Caenorhabditis elegans: one gene and its partners. The protein of the gene in region 4 purifies or fractionates together with the protein of the main gene of each other region. This does not show direct contact. Each region holds a gene or a part of one and is shown on either strand. Other genes may lie near its edges. The genes, in order: elo-6, nfs-1, ndub-7 and C24D10.6.

What was found.
Region 1: the proteins of C24D10.6 (region 4) and elo-6 fractionate together in Caenorhabditis elegans (co-fractionation; one large-scale study listed by BioGRID). This does not show direct contact.
Region 2: the proteins of C24D10.6 (region 4) and nfs-1 fractionate together in Caenorhabditis elegans (co-fractionation; one large-scale study listed by BioGRID). This does not show direct contact.
Region 3: the proteins of C24D10.6 (region 4) and ndub-7 fractionate together in Caenorhabditis elegans (co-fractionation; one large-scale study listed by BioGRID). This does not show direct contact.

What each region holds. Positions count from the first base shown.
Region 1 is NC_003282.8:5,385,996-5,390,327, forward strand, and holds elo-6 (Long chain fatty acid elongase 6), read right to left. Parts: upstream 2,565-4,332; 5' UTR 2,559-2,564; coding exon 2,385-2,558; intron 2,280-2,384; exon of another isoform or gene 2,259-2,279; intron 2,198-2,258; exon of another isoform or gene 2,177-2,197; intron 2,103-2,176; exon of another isoform or gene 2,082-2,102; intron 1,935-2,081; exon of another isoform or gene 1,914-1,934; intron 1,814-1,913; coding exon 1,287-1,813; intron 951-1,286; exon of another isoform or gene 930-950; intron 853-929; coding exon 729-852; 3' UTR 634-728; downstream 1-633. Other genes in the region: F41H10.12 (CACTA en-spm transposon protein), read left to right, coding at 1-85. UniProt on the Caenorhabditis elegans protein: Catalyzes the first and rate-limiting reaction of the four reactions that constitute the long-chain fatty acids elongation cycle. Uses malonyl-CoA to add 2 carbons per cycle to the chain of long-chain fatty acids.
Region 2 is NC_003279.8:10,735,070-10,740,679, forward strand, and holds nfs-1 (cysteine desulfurase), read left to right. Parts: upstream 1-1,627; 5' UTR 1,628-1,679; coding exon 1,680-1,748; intron 1,749-2,253; coding exon 2,254-2,391; intron 2,392-2,435; coding exon 2,436-2,555; intron 2,556-2,727; coding exon 2,728-2,826; intron 2,827-2,871; coding exon 2,872-2,965; intron 2,966-3,117; coding exon 3,118-3,252; intron 3,253-3,302; coding exon 3,303-3,458; intron 3,459-3,918; coding exon 3,919-4,059; intron 4,060-4,368; coding exon 4,369-4,535; intron 4,536-4,585; coding exon 4,586-4,705; 3' UTR 4,706-4,845; downstream 4,846-5,610. Other genes in the region: kin-3 (Casein kinase II subunit alpha), read left to right, coding at 1-99, 557-681, 737-818, 1,016-1,171; B0205.5 (Transposase), read left to right, coding at 5,228-5,326.
Region 3 is NC_003279.8:7,580,279-7,583,789, forward strand, and holds ndub-7 (NADH dehydrogenase [ubiquinone] 1 beta subcomplex subunit 7), read right to left. Parts: upstream 1,351-3,511; 5' UTR 1,346-1,350; coding exon 1,232-1,345; intron 1,150-1,231; coding exon 1,045-1,149; intron 940-1,044; coding exon 787-939; 3' UTR 666-786; downstream 1-665. Other genes in the region: D2030.3 (Fanconi anemia group I protein), read right to left, coding at 1-410, 491-553; mce-1 (Methylmalonyl-CoA epimerase, mitochondrial), read left to right, coding at 1,843-1,905, 1,980-2,105, 2,449-2,748.
Region 4 is NC_003282.8:5,158,706-5,161,883, forward strand, and holds C24D10.6 (CHCH domain-containing protein), read right to left. Parts: upstream 1,544-3,178; 5' UTR 1,543-1,543; coding exon 1,401-1,542; intron 1,298-1,400; coding exon 1,143-1,297; intron 1,014-1,142; coding exon 825-1,013; 3' UTR 722-824; downstream 1-721. Other genes in the region: C24D10.4 (ER to Golgi transport-related protein), read left to right, coding at 1,818-2,013, 2,077-2,457, 2,506-2,630.

The DNA of each region.
Region 1 (4,332 bases), 230 kb from region 4:
TGAATATACTTTGACCGAAACTTTTTTCACTGTTTCTAGAAGTCTAACAAACTTCATTTTTGTAGAGCTCACTATTTCAGTATAATTAACCAGCACGAGCTTACAGTTGGATTTTTTCTATCAAATTGTATTTAATTTATTTATTGCTAAAAATTTACTGTTTCAAAGCCAGTTTAGAGAGTGCATCCACCAATTCGTTCAGTAGGCTGATCTTTAGAGCATCCAAAGTTGACAAATTGCTATCTTGTGTTATACTGCTAACAATTGTACTTAGAATTGTACGGACATTGGGGATTCTGCTGATGAAATGTACCAAGCATGCTAGCCAGCAGACGTTCCCGTGATTCCAAACGCCTCTTATCGTTATTTTTCCGTCTTCGTTGTTGGTACCATACTGTACTTCAGCGCGATGTGGCATATTTACGACAAAATTGTCTTAAGTCACAACTGCTTGATCGATCTCTTCAACGACGAAAAATCACCAATCGGAAAAACATAAATTTTTTAATAAAAAACTTTTTTTCATATTGAAAAAGTTATAGGTTTCAACATAGGCATAGGAACGAAAAAATCTACCTGCCTGACATAAGGTAGTTACCATACTTTGTTTTTAAGATAACAATTAAAATAATTGTATTCTACTAAACCTTTATTATACAAATCAGAACATTTAATAGAAAGTGTAAACTACCCGGAAAAAAAAGATAAATTATCTCTATTCTAATATTTTATTCAATTTTCTTTTCAGTCTTCTTCTCTGCATTAAACTTCTTGCCACCTCCCTTGATGTATGATTGATAGTAGAAGTTTCCGAACAGAACGACATAAGAGATTTCCATGAGAAGGCAGAACCTGGAAATATTGCATTTTACTAATTTTATGCTGTTTCAAAAGTATTGTAAATTTTCTACAAATTTTAGTTGTTCTAATACATATGTAGTGTCCACTATCAAATTTCCTTGAGTTGCTTGGTAACAACAAAAAAAACTCATAAACTGTGATATTTAGCAAAATGTTTTCAATTTACAAAATGTTGTCGATTAATTATTTTAGTGTCAAAGCTGTATAAACTCATGTTCTGAAATAAATTACAGCAGCCGACAACGACAACATTTAGTGAAATGGTAATATTTTGCTAACTATCACAGTTAAAAAAATACATGTTTGAAAAACTAAAGCAAATCACCAAAAAAAATCAAATCTAGGCGGAATATTAACTTGCATTGTATAGTTTCGTGTTACACTATGTACTAAAAAAAGACACTACATATTGGACAAAAACCCACCAATAATATCCTGGAGTTGAGTCAACAGATTGTCCAGTAACTGCCAAATATCCAACGTGGAAAAGAATGAAATGAGTAATAACGAATTGAAGAATTTGCATTGTTGTAATATTCTTGGCAATCCATGCTGGAACCTTGACACCAAAAGAACGAAGCATATAATATCCATACATAATTGAGTGAACTGAGAAATTCATCCATGTAATCCAAGTATTAAATCCCAAATTAGCTTCAAATGACATAAAAGCATAATTCATTGTAAGCACATGATGATACCAATGAAGGAACATCAATGGCTTTTTACGAAGAATAATAAAAAGTGTATCTCCGAATTCAGCAACTTTTGAGAGAACGAAAAGCCATGTGAACATTCCAGAAAGTCCATTATAAAAGTCTCCGATGTGAATGTAAGATTCGAAAAATCCACGGCTGAAGAACTCGTGGAGAAGTCCAAATGTAGTGGCAAGTGATCCGAGAGTTGAGAAAATAGCAAGACCCGCATTCCAGAGATTCAGTGGTCCCGTGAGCTGGAAATAAATTAGTGGGGTTTTAAGTGGGTGGATTGGTGGAAAATATAATTCCCGTTTCAACCGCAATTTTTATTTTGTAGTATATTTCCACTGTTAATTGAGAAACGATCACAATTTTCTTTTAAAAGTTATCAAAGCAGTATTTATAAAAGTTTTTGTTTTAAAATGGATAAAAGCTAAACTTTTGATTAAAAAAAATTGAATTTTCATAAAATGTTTACCGTTTCAAAGAATCTATAGACTCACATCGCATTTCTGGCCCCACTTTCCAGTTCTAATTACCTCCGAATAGTTAAGAAATCACCAAAGATGTACTGTTTCAGACAATCTATTTAGAAAGTAACATCAAATAAATAGTATTTTGTATCTGGTGGCATTAAAAGTAAGAAAATAATTACTGTTTCAGGAAATATTTAATTGTGTGATACAAAATGAGTTCTAATCTACCAGCAATGTATTTTCAATTAATCAAAAAATGGGTTCTTAATTATTTGCAACACTAAACTGTTCAATAATAAAATTTAAATTTTACCGAAAATTTACTGTTTCAGAGAATCTACAAACTTACATCAAATGGTTTTCGGTTTGTCATGACAGCCTTGAGCCCAAAAATAACGACAACATATGCCATTGAGATCCAGAAAGCAGCATACTGAGTCTGTGCAATATGCTTTTTTGAGAGCTCATGACTGAATGGAGCAGTTGTCAGCACCTCAAAGAATGAGACTTCTCCCTGTGGCATTTTTACCTGCAATTTTAAACTTAAAAAAAGGAACTGCCATATGAAGAGTGTGGCTCAAAGTAAACTGCTAAATAAGAACCAGATCTAACAGGTGGGGCTTAAGATTACTGTAGATGGGTACAAGGTACAAGTCTCTAGACTAACATAAGAATACAACAAAGCAAACATTTTGGCTCCAAGAGCCCGAAAGTCACAAAACACGGTCATCACCAACTCCTTTTTATACTTAACCATCTCGTTTTCTGCGTCTCTCCCTCTCTCTCTCTCTTGTAGTGAGATACCAAATGGTGGTCTGATTTTTTTTGTTGGAAAAAAAGGTAAAAAGGCGGAGGCAAGTGATTTTTCGAAGAAAATTCGGAAATTATGGGGCGATGAAAGAGGCGGTAGACGGGGGAAAGAGAGAGAGGGAGAGAGTGGAAGACATTTGTTTATAGGTTTTTTGAAGTGAAACGATTCAGAACACACTCAATGTACGGTCAAAGAATTGTAACTCTATTGATAAGATGTTTTTTATTAAAAAGTAATTGAAAAGTGCCTGAAACAGTAATTAAATTTCGTATATAAATGGTTTTTAATATATTTTTTCATGATTTGTGTATAATACCCAGTAACGGAATTTTGTGATTTGTGCGCCAAAAATACTATACCAGGTCTTGACACGAAAAATTTGAGTTTAATGCAAAAGGCTGTGCGCCTTTAAAGAGTACTGTAATCCCAAACCTACGTTGCTGCAGATTTTTTTAAAAATCGATGTGATTTGCTAAAATTAATGTGTTCTTATTATTATCATTGAGAGATTTTTTAATGAATACAAGTACAATTAATTTTTCCCAAAATACTATGAAAAATCGATAAAAATTAAGTTTTTTATTAAGAAGAGTTTGAATTTCCAGTATTTTCTGAAATAAAAAATTGTATTTTTAATCTTTTTAATCAAAAATTGTATTCTTTAATCTTTAATCCTTTTAATCCCATGACCTGGTATTCTTGGCGAAAAAATTACAACATTTTGTGTCTGGGTAATATCCAGTCGTGAATTCGTGAATTAATTCGCCAAATCTGAAGACTCCACTTCAAAAGAACATTTTTCTCTCGATAGGTCTCGCCACGATCCATTTTGTTGGCGACAGGCGCGACTGCTCTTTCTTAAATGAAAATTGAGATATTTGTTCGCTAGAATGTGATTTTTTAACAGAACATACAAATATATGGTTTTCGTGGCGAGACCAATTTAAAGTAGCACGCGCCTTTAAAACGACTACAATCAACCTGAATACTACATAAAATTGTTTCAGACACTGCAATAAAAAAGCTTTTTCTGATAAATTTTGTGACGTCTGACATTGAAAAGTAGAATAAACTGTGTTTTTTTTCAAAACTTGAAACCAACAATCAACAATCGCCACGTTCCCTTGCAAACCACATAAATTTTAGCAAAGAACCTTGAGAAAAGTTATCGAGGTCAGCATGAATGGTGAATACAAAGAGAATTTCGAGATTTACCGAAAGATACTCGGAGCGGTATCCAGCAGAAGAAGAAAAGAGAGAATCCTTTTTAGATTGGTCAATTGTTGAAAAATTCTGAAATGCACTGGAGTATCTTGAAAATGGAGTCATGGGAAACATGCTATTTAATAACACCAGTCGATTTATTTATGAATGACTGTAATTTGAATAAAAAAAACTAAGGATACAATAATGGAGCAGAAAGGAAACACTCAAGACAATAAAACATTTTACACGATGATATAGAACATGCCAAGTTACAGAATGA
Region 2 (5,610 bases), on a different chromosome or scaffold from region 4:
TACGATTATTCGTTGGATATGTGGAGTTTGGGATGCATGTTGGCTAGTATGATCTTCAGGAAGGAACCATTCTTCCACGGCCATGATAACTACGATCAGGTAAGCACTTTAAGCTGAAGTAGCAAAGAACCGCAAATCCACAAATTTCATTAAAATCCAATATTGGAATATAGAAAACATTTGATTTATCTGATTATGGCTTTTATTTCAGTGAGAACAATGGGGAAAAACGCTTAAAAAATTACCGGAAAGTTTAAAATTTCCGAAAAAAACCGAAAATTTTCCAATTTTGAGCATTTTTCAATTGTTCCAGCTGCAAAAAACTATTTTCAGATAAAGAAATTATTTTTTTGAATTCCATAGCTAAAATTTTACTGATAAGTTTGGCTTATTCCGTAGAATTTCTTGCCGGCGATTGATTCGCACCCCTGAGCTGAAATTTAAATGAATAAATAATATTGTCAGGTATTTATTAAATATTCATCAATAATTTTTATGATTTTTAATATTTTATAAATTCACGAAATCTGATTTTCTTATAAAAAGTTTTTTGCAGCTAGTCCGCATTGCAAAGGTATTGGGAACTGATGAGCTTTACGAGTACATTGCGAGATATCACATTGATCTCGATCCACGCTTCAACGATATTCTCGGGCGACACTCAAGAAAACGCTGGGAAAGGTATATTTTGATCGAAGCGAAGTTTCATGTTTTTCTTAAAATTCATTTGTTGTAGATTTATCCACGCTGAAAATCAACATCTTGTCACCCCAGAGGCTCTTGATTTCCTTGATAAACTTCTTCGCTACGATCACGCGGTAAGAATCGGAAAAAAGAGAAATTACACCAAATTAGTTACTGAAAACCAGTTTTAACAAGAACACAGAGAAATAAAAACAATTTTCACTTGTTTTATTGAAAAAAAAGACATTTGATACTCGAAACTAACTATAAATACTTTTATTTGTTAAATTAATTTATTTCCAGAACTTTTAATAAATTTCACCATATTCAGGAACGCCTAACTGCTCAAGAGGCCATGGGTCACGAATACTTCCGCCCAGTTGTTGAAGCACATGCTCGTGCCAATGGAACTGAACAAGCTGACGGACAGGGTGCATCGAATTCCGCTTCTTCTCAATCCTCCGATGCCAAAATTGACGGCGCTTAAAATTTCTTTCTATTTTTTTTTTAATTTTCCTGTTGACTATTTCCTTTTTTATTAATTTCCACACCACTCCTCTCCATCATTATTCCTTTGCTCTAAAAATTGGCTAAGATATTAAATCTTCCCCGCTTCTCCGAAAATTTCCCTCTACGTACCACAAAAGTGCCTAATCTTTTCGTGAGAAACGTTCTTTGCAAATTCTATTTTTAGGATTTTTTTGTGTAATTCATGCCTCTGAAATTCCGTTTCAATTTTAAATCTTTTTTGTCCCATTTCATATTGTTCTCCTTCTTCTCCCCTTTCCTCTTCCTCAAACAACCACAATCATCATTTTTATAAATCGAATCACAGTTCGTGAGAAAAAAAACTGTTACTTGTAATCAATATTGTCTTTGGTTTGAAAAACCTACTATTGTTCCTATGTTGAGTTGTGAACTATGTTCACTTTTAGAGTTTTAGATTTAAAATGCTCAACGGACGAGTGCTCCTTCGATCGATTGCTCGCCGGACAATGGCATCGAAAATTGAGCCAGGATCTCCGCAGCCGATTTATTTGGATGTTCAGGCTACCGCGCCAATGGTAATTAAATGGAAATAATAAAGCATGATTAAAAATAATATAAAAAACTTGTATCTGGAAAAAATTAACGAAACTTTTCAGATACAATTTAGATTTCGAATGAGTTTTTTTCTAACCTAGGCACAGTTTAAGCTAGTAGGCATTCTAAAATTGCGGCTTATGGCCTAAAAAGGGCCTAAGCGAACAAAACCAGCAATAAATTATGATAATTATATGAAAACTGATTTACGACAGCGCTGCGACACTGAAAATATGACATTTTACAATACTTTGAACCCATATAATATTTTTTTTTTTATTTTTCATAAATTTTCAGAACATTTCATTGCGAAATTCAGTAGTTTGAGACCATTTTTGGTATTTAAAAAACCAATTTCTCAGTTTTCGGTTCTCTAAATGTGACTAAATTATTTTATTTCCAATTTAAGTGAAATCGTAGCTTAAGAAACTAGGAAAAAAATGTGCTGGGATTTTTTTTGAAATTCCAAATTTTAATATTTTACAGGATCCTCGAGTAGTCGACGCAATGCTTCCCTATATGATCAATGATTTCGGAAATCCTCATTCAAGAACTCATTCATACGGATGGAAAGCTGAAGAAGGCGTTGAACAAGCGAGAGAACATGTTGCAAATCTTATAAAGGTTTTTTTTTCTGAGAGTTTTATTCAATTTCCTTGTATTTTCAGGCAGATCCTCGTGACATCATCTTCACTTCTGGAGCCACTGAATCAAATAATTTGGCGATTAAAGGAGTTGCAAAGTTTCGAAAACAATCTGGAAAGAATCATATTATCACGCTGCAAACTGTAAGATTGCTATTATTAGTCCGCAGAAAATTCGCTTAAAACGGATTTCGCCACCAAACACCTAACGAGACCCATGGTTTGGAGGCGGAGCGCGTTTTCACATAGATTTCCAAAAGCGCATTTTTTGCGTCTCCATAATAATGAAATTAAAAGAAAAACGTTTATTTTCCAGGAGCACAAATGCGTTCTCGACTCGTGTCGATATTTGGAAAATGAAGGATTTAAAGTGACATATTTACCAGTTGATAAGGGAGGAATGGTTGATATGGAGGTACTTTTTTCAGTTAGAAAATATAGGAAATATCTGATATTTCAGCAACTTACTCAATCGATTACCGCGGAAACATGTCTTGTGTCTATTATGTTTGTCAATAATGAAATTGGAGTTATGCAGCCGATCAAGCAAATTGGTTTGTTTTTTTTTTCAAATCAGAGAAATACCCCAAAAAAGAAGCTAAATTTAACTAAAATATCTAAGTTTTTCAGTTTTGACTCTCTCATCGCAGAATTCAGTATTTTAAGTATTTAAAAGAAATTTAACGAAAAAAATAAAAAATTTCAGGTGAACTATGCCGTTCAAAAGGTGTATACTTTCACACAGATGCCGCACAAGCTACTGGAAAAGTTCCAATTGATGTAAATGAAATGAAAATTGATTTAATGTCAATTTCTGCGCATAAAATCTACGGACCAAAAGGTAATTTTCATTCTTCAGATTTCAAATTCTTCAAAAGCTCCGATTTCCAGGTGCCGGAGCCCTTTACGTTCGTCGTCGTCCACGTGTTCGTATTGAAGCTCAAATGTCTGGTGGAGGACAGGAAAGAGGATTACGATCTGGTACTGTAGCTGCTCCATTGTGCATTGGACTTGGGGAAGCTGCTAAAATTGCTGATAAGGAGATGGGTATGGTTTTTTTTTTGAATTTTTAACACAATTATTGGTATTTCAGACATAAAAAATTAGAAATGTTTGAAAGATATCTTTAAAATCTAAATTTTTTTAATTAAAAAAAACTATTTTATATTACGGTTTTTGTTAAACTTTAACTTTAATAAAACTGTCCCTAAAAACTTCATTTTTTCTGAGAAATTCGAATTTTTTATAAAAACGGACCGTTCAATTAAAAAACAATTGTAAGAAACAAATGGTTTGACACATTTTACTAAAAAATATCTAGAAAAAGTTGAAAATTTTCTATTAAAATATCTCTAAAAACCGCATTTTATTTAAAAAAAAAGCTTAACACTTTCGTATTAAGAATGCCATCAAAATTTCTATTAGTCGAAAATTCAATGATAGGATTGAAATTTTGGAAAAAAATGAAGAAACCCAGTAGAAAATTTTGAAAATCAAATTATTTCAGCAATGGATAAAGCTCATGTTGAACGATTATCTCAAATGCTTATCAACGGAATCAGTGATAAATTGCCACATATTATCAGAAATGGAGATGCTAGGCATGCTTATCCCGGTTGTGTCAATCTCTCATTTGCATATGTTGAAGGTACGGGAATTTAAACTAATTAAACTCGGAAATTCCCGGGTAAAAATGTTTGAAATTAAAAAATACCGCAAAAGAAAATAGAGAAAAATTCAAATTCAAATTTTAAAGACGCCATTTTTCAATTTCGGATAGTCCTCGGTGCTTGAATTTTCTCTAAAATGAGAACCAATCAACGATCCACTCCGCCCACTTTTAGACCAATCAGCCAGAGTAGGCGGAGTCCGAAGACTGTGATTGGTCTTGTAGTTCTCATTTTAGAAGATTGTCAAGCGTTTCCAAAACTACCAAAACCAACTTTTTTTTTTCTAGGTGAGTCCCTTCTGATGGCTCTAAAATCGATTGCTCTTTCTTCTGGAAGTGCTTGTACATCTGCTTCATTGGAACCTTCATACGTACTTCGTGCAATCGGATCCGAAGAAGACTTGGCTCATTCTTCGATTCGATTCGGATTGGGAAGATTTACAACTGACGAGGAGGTAAGAACACATTCCGTTTAAGTTTCAAAAAATTCATCAAATAATTTCAGGTGAAGCATACAATTGATCTATGCATTCGTGAAACAAATCGGCTCCGTGATTTGAGTCCTCTCTGGGAAATGGTTCAAGAGGGTATCGATTTGAAGAGTATTCAATGGACCCAACATTAAATATTTCTAAATTTTAAAAATTTGAATTTTCTCGTTTAGCTTTTTTTGTTTGTTTTGTGTCTCATTATTTATCTAGTTGCCAAAAAATATATTTTTTTGTTTGATATTTATATATTTTTCAAGTAAATTAGTTGTTGAAAAGCATTGCGTTCAAAAAATAACCATTTTTATCACAGAGCCCGAAGCTATCGATGAAACATGCTTCACCAAAATTTTACGATGTAATAATGTTAATACTCAATGGTATTCAAAAGACAGCCATTTTTGGCTCACCACCAAACCATTGAGGGCCATCTTTGTGCAATCCTCTTTTCAACAGAGTACGTATTTTTTACCTTACAAAATGTCAAACTCTACGTGACCGTGGAAAGTTTAATCTCAGGCCATAACAATTTATTAAATATTCTTTTCTTAAATATTTAAACTAATCTCTAAATTTTCAGAGCACGTGCTGACGGGAAAACGTTGAGCAATGAAGACCTCGAGAACAAAATTCGAGCTGCCGAATCAATTAAAAAGGCTATGCTGAACGAACGTATGATTGAGCACGTTAAGTCCAAGCTCACCAAGCGTGGTGTTAAGGTGTGGGACAAACTCGCTTCAAGAGTCTCATTTTTGTAAATTTTCAGAATTTTTTGTTATCTTCTAGAAGTAATAGTTTTTTGTTTTCCTTTCTACATTTTTTTCAAATAAACATTTTTTCTTAGTTTTTTAAAGGGAAACCGAAAATTTATTGGGCTGAATTATTCAAAAAATAACAGATTTTTCAGATTTTTGGAAGCTTTGAACCAGCTCAAAAAATCCTTACCTATGTGAAAATGGGAATTTTTCTACTCGTTTCCGGTTCATCAATGTCATCCTTACACACCGGCTTATTAGATTACCGTATATCTTCTATTAATATG
Region 3 (3,511 bases), on a different chromosome or scaffold from region 4:
GATACATTTTTAATCTTGGTTGCACTCAACAAAACTTCAAGCGTATTCAACAACATTGTTAGATTCTGATTGCTAATTCTCAATCCAAACAGTTCAGCAGCCAATCCACGAATATTGGGATCACTTGTTTGTGCAGCAGCATCCATGCAATTAAGAATAATCTTGAATACAATTGGAGAATGAAGTTCTCCAGCTTGCGGATTTCTAACAAGAAGTTCTCGAGTATAAAGTGATCCACATAATTGAAAATGATCCGAGATATGAGCAAGTCGATTAGCCAATCGCGATTGAACTGCTCGTAGAGTTTGTGAAGAACATTTGATGATCATTCTCGACATAAGACAAAATCCTAGTTCTTGTTCTTTACGTGTTCGATTGGATCCAACGAGACGGAGACATTTTTCGAAAGTCTGAAACTTATTTGATGAATGGATCCATGACAGAATATGTAGGTTTTTAGATAATTCAAAAAAATTTGACAATTTCTAACCTGAATTTCGTCTTCTGGTTTTCCAACCATTGTTTCTTGGACGACTTTTCGGATTTCGGTCATCTCTGAAAGGTGTTTTTAAATTATAATATGGAAAACTAATCGGAATCATTATAGCATAGATATATTACAAATGATACGAACAACAAAAAAATTTTCAACATTAAAAAAAAGTGTACGACTCAATATTTATCCGAAATCGAGAGAAAAAGAAACGAAACAAAAGACACATAGTATTCACAAAAAACTATACTATTATCAAAAATCATTTAAAGAAATATCTCATCGACATCTATTCAAGCAGTGGCTTCTTTGCGAGCCTGTCTTTGAAGCAATCGTCGTTCACGTTCGAATTCTTTGATTCTCATGATATGATCATCATATTCACATTTATCCCAAGCTCCACGTTCTCCGTCGCACGCGTGTCCGGCAAATGGTGCATTTTGGGTCTGAATATAATAAATTATTTTTGCTGTTTTTGAGAAAATAATTTTAGATGTGTATTTTTATATAATTTTAAAAATATATCATTGTAACTAAAACAAAAATCTTACTTGGCATTTCATGAGTGAAATCAAGTGGTGAGCACAATAATCGCGTTGAGCTGGCTTCAACTTCCACTGCTCCATCTCTTCCCAAGTAGCCTTCATCTCGCGGACCTTGAATATTAAACTTTATTATATTGAATATTTATGAATTAAATGAACAGTTATTTAATGAACTTTTAAAAAAGTTGTTTACCTTTCTCGGTCGCTCGAATCCATACTGAGGATCGAAAGTTGGTGGTCTGTCGACACGTGGCGCGGTTTCTGGTGTACTGGCTCCTTCCAATGAGACGGACAGTTTAGTTCCCATCTTGGCTGAAAAAAAAGGAATTGGTACAAAATAAAGAAAGCATCAAAACTCTTCTGATATTTGAATCAACTCAAAATAAATAATTAGCATGCTTAGGGCAGCGAATGCTTTGCTGATAAGAAGTGAACAATTTATATTTTAATAATTTAACATATTTTTCCGGAAAATATTCTTCTAAAACGTTAAAAACAAAGTAAAGCTGAAAATTGGCACAAAAATTGCCCGAAATAAAATAAGATAAACAACAAGCACTTGTGTAATATCGGAGTGTCGTTGTAATCAAAGTGAGTGCGTGCAAAAAGCAAGTTTACAGCGGGTTCATTGACCGAATTTTCAATGTCAAAAACATTTTCTTATCTAAACTTTTGTTTGTTTCTGTTACTTTTCATTTTCTCACAGATGTTTCAATCATTTAAACGCTTATTACTTAGCATTTTTCGAGTTTTATAAATTTTATTAAAGTACAGTAACCATGTTTATAGATTCTTCTTTTGAAAATGGCATCCTTCCGTTCTACACTCGCCCTTGTCAATTCTGCTAAGCTTTCGCTGTCCACAAGAGTAGGTTTTTCTATTTTTTCTGATGAAAACTATTAGATAATCGCTTTTTTACTTTAAAAATTTTGACTTTTCAGACCATGGCTTCCCATCCATTGGCAGGACTTCTCGGAAAGTTGAACCACGTCGCCATTGCCACACCAGATCTCAAGAAATCATCGGAATTCTACAAGGGCCTCGGAGCAAAAGTTAGCGAGGCTGTGGTTAGTCTTTAATTTTTGTTTCTTCCTAATGTCAATAAAAATTTAGAGCAAAAATATGTAGAAAATATTTTTGTTAAATTCTTTGTAGCATAAATCAAAATAAAAATTGAATAGCCTAAAATTTTGAAATAGCATAACAAAAAACGAAAAATTTTGGAAAAACCCCTACAACTGAAAAATGAAATAAAATGCGAATGAAGCGAATTTTGTGTACTACAGTAAACTTACTTGAAAAATATTTATTTAATTACAAGTTTTTTCATAAAAATGATAAAAATCCGCAAATAAAAAATAAAATGTCTCATCTAGTTTATATTAAAATTTTTGAATTGAATAATTACAGCCACAACCAGAACATGGAGTCTACACTGTCTTCGTTGAGCTTCCAAACTCAAAAATCGAGCTTCTTCATCCATTCGGCGAGAAATCTCCAATTCAAGCTTTTTTGAATAAGAATAAGGACGGTGGAATGCATCATATTTGTATTGAAGTTCGTGATATTCATGAAGCTGTTTCTGCTGTTAAAACAAAAGGAATTCGTACTTTGGGTGAGAAACCAAAAATTGGAGCTCATGGAAAAGAAGTAATGTTCTTGCATCCAAAGGATTGTGGAGGTGTACTTATTGAACTCGAGCAGGAATAATTTGATTCTTTGTTCCCAAAATCTAGCAATCATATTATCTGTTTGACAAAGTTTTGATCTTCACTTTTTTGTGAGAAACTTCACAAATTTTAAATTTCGCAAAAGTTCTCTCAAAATTTTTTATTGGCAGCCTATAACTTTTGAAAAATCGATAATATGATATAAATTACAAAAAAAAAAACTATAAACCTTTCTTTTAGCACCCAGTATTTTGCATAGAGATTAATTTTTGATACGTTTTAATCTGTTCACATGTTTTATTGTTTCTTGTGCCATAATAATTGCCTACAACTTCAATAAATTGTTTCATTAAATTTTCAAAATATAAATTCGTTTACATGTTTTCAAAAATATAATTTGAATTTTAAAGCGAAAAACTACGAAAAAACATATCAGAAAAGAATGTAAAATTTATGGGTAATATGAAAAAAACCTATTTTCAGAAAAGTTACAGTGGATTAGGATTTGGAAAAAAAAGAAGAAAATCAAAACTGTATGAACTACACTCTTAGAAATTTCAGACTTAAGCGAAGAATGTCAATAATCAGAAATCAAAAACAAAATTACATCTATGACATAATCAGTATAAGATGGTCCCTGAGCCGTCAATCCTGAAATTCTAGTGGATATACTACGCACCTATTTGAAAGAGGGAAATTCTTTTTTAGAAAAATATTTTTCCAAATAAGACGAAAAGAATTTCAATCCAAAGATGTCCAAAGTGTTTGCGAAAAAGCTCGGTAAACATCGTTTCACAGTTTTA
Region 4 (3,178 bases):
TTTAGCGAATTTTGTCGTCTCTTTTTCATTTCTCTGTGAAACATCTTCAAAAATCAATTTTCGATGTTTCAATTTTCAATTTTTAACACTACCATAAACTTTCTGCGCGCCGAGACCCATCGAAATATATCCGTGCGCCTTTAAGAAGGCATGTCAGAATCTTACGAAAATACAATATTTTGAATAAATTTCTCAAAAGATCATCTTGCAAAATATGCTTCTCATTGAAGTTTTCGTGATTTGCTTGAAAATATTCTGAAACTTGCGATATTAGTTTTCTCCAGTGTATTATGATTTCATCATCTAAATTTATTCCTAAATAAATAAATAACCAAAAAAAAATTTTCTGGAATATTCAGGTTCTCTTTTTGTTTTTCGAAGACTCATCAAGTTATCTCGTAAACATCTCTTATTTTCGTCCACCTCCAGATAAAAAGCAAATACACTTCCTATTAATGCATTTTCCTGCCAACAAACCTGACACTCTCCCTTCTCACAATCAACCCATTTAGAGCTTCGAGCATTTTGAAAGCACGATGAATTGGTCGTTTCGCCGTAACACGAATAGCAAAGATGGGCGTTGGCGGATAACGGAAAGAATAGAAAAATAACGAGGCGAAGGGTCATCTGAAGGGATCCGAAGAAATCTGAGAATGTTTTGGAAAGCGAAAAAAAGAGGATGACTAGGGGCTCAACAAGTGAGACAAATTGAAAGGGACATAAGGATAGGCACTATTTATGTCTTATTTTGGAGTTTTAACAGAAACAAGAAAACTACATACTAGAAAACAAAAAAAGAGATTTTAAAATAAAAATTAAAAATTCTAGCTTCTTTTTCCTGACCAATGTTTTCTGTGGAACGTGTCGTCGGCGTAGTCTTGTGTTGGAAGTCGTTTCATCTGTCGATATGGCTGCTTTCCAAGGTCTGGTTGTGGAAAGAGTTTTTGAATTTTATTGAATTGAGCACTGGTCATTGATTGTTTTCCGCCGGCTCCAGATTCTCCAAGTGTTCCCTGCAAAGCTTGATTTATTTAAAGTTAACAACTTTTCTTTCAGTACTTTAAAGCAACAGATTAACATCTTCGATTAGTTATTTACTTTGTTTCGATCTTAAAATAAATTTTAATATTAAAATCACAAACTTTTCTCGTGGCATCCCGATACGCGGCAGCTTCTTCAGCTCCTTTGTGAACGCAATCCATGTAAAGAGTGTGTTGTTTTGAGCATGGAACATCATCGAATTCCCACTTTTTCAGGCATCCAAACAGTGCTTGTAGCTCTTGAGTGCACGACGAACCTGGAAAAACGTTGTATTTTTCAAATATTTTGCAAAAATGTTCTTTCACTGTGCCAAAAAATTACAAATCTTTGTATGCATTTTCAAGTTAATATAAACTCACTCGCTGCTCTTGGTTTTTGTCCAGCCTGAACACGATTCTTCGAGGCGAGCGGTAAAATTTCGGAAAACACTGCAACTTTCGGATATATCGATTTACCACGTGCCAGCGCTTTTTCTTTTAGGAGAGGCGATGAGAACATCATCCTGTAAACAATAAATTAAATAATAAAATAATTAACAAACTTTTTAAATCAGAAAATCCGAAGAAAATAAAGAAATAAAATAAAAATAATGTTCATGTGTGTTACCCGAGAGGAGTCCACAAGGAATCTTGTCAATGGAGCGCGCTTACGCAGCTAAATTTTGGTTGATTTTTTATTTTATCTTTTGCAAAATCTCTGCTTTTTCACCGAAAAACTATTTTTCTTCGCTTTTCCTGTATAAAATAACTTAAAATTAATATTTATATTATTCCAGAATGTCAGATCAAGAAGAGACAGCACCAGTCGCTCCCCCTCCACTAACAGCAGAAGAACGTCGTCAACGTCGACTTGCAAAAATATTGGGAAATTCTGAAGGCAGAATTAATCGAATTCTGAATAACGGAGGCGACGAAAATGGCAAACGACATGCTCCTGCAATTGAGGGCGGCGAGGGCTACAATATTTTGCCGAGTGAGTGCTTTTTTTTAAAAATTTAACCAGAAAGTTGCCGGAAAAATTTATAATATTTTTCAGCTCCAAGCTCATCTGATAGCGTCACTGTTCCACAAAATTCTGAGTTCCCCGGATTTCCCAGCGAATTTCCAGCTGGATTCCCCGCAGATATTGCTCAATTTGCTCAATTTTCTGATGGAATGGGCAATCTGAACACTAATCGAGGACCCCCTCCACCTCCAGTTAAAGGAATAAATGTTCCACTAGTGGCAATCATTCTTGGACTTCTTTCTCGTGCAATTATGCTTCTCACAGGACCAATAAATATCGGAATACTTTGGGCAATCTTCTACGTCACTCTTGTTTCTCGATTCTCGGCTGTCGGTTTGAATAATCAAACAAGAAACGAACTTGCTGCTGTTTTTCAAGCAATGGGGAATAATAATCAATTTGAAAAAATTAGTAAGTTCATATGGATCAAGCAATAAATAAAAAAACAATGATTTTCAGTGAATGCGGGTTTCAAAATCATTGAATTCATCCAAACGACCGTCTCCTTCGCCGCCAGCTTCCTTCTCGCCCATATGATACTTGAACTCTACGATTTTTCAGCGGATTATCAAATTGTCTTTTAAAATGTTATTAGTTGTATGTAAATCGGAAGTTTTATTAAATTATTTGTGTTCTTGATGAGTTGTATGCAGCATTATTAAAATTGCAAGTTCATAGGTTTTCAGATTCATTGTGAATTGATTATTATGACGAATGGACAATCCTCTGGAAGTCGACTATTAGTTTCCCATAATAATGGAATGCAATTGTTCTGATGTATTCTCACAGTAATATTTGAGACAACCAGGAACGGCGATGTAATAGGAAACGTAGTTCATTGCGTAATATATGTATTTGCCAAGTAATATGACGTTCCTGTAGATAGAGTAGAAAATATATGGATTTTACTTTAGAGATTCTACCTAAATACGTCCACTTCTGTAGCAAAATTCTATTTTTAGTTGCAATATATCACAAAGTTGAAACAGTCAGTGCGTGCAACTTCTAGAGAACACCCTAAAATTTCGAGTTTCATCATGTTCTGACATATTTCATGAAAAATTGTTGATGCCAATCGATTTCAAATCGATGAAAAACTACGGGAAATAGGTTTTAAAGTCGTAAAACGACC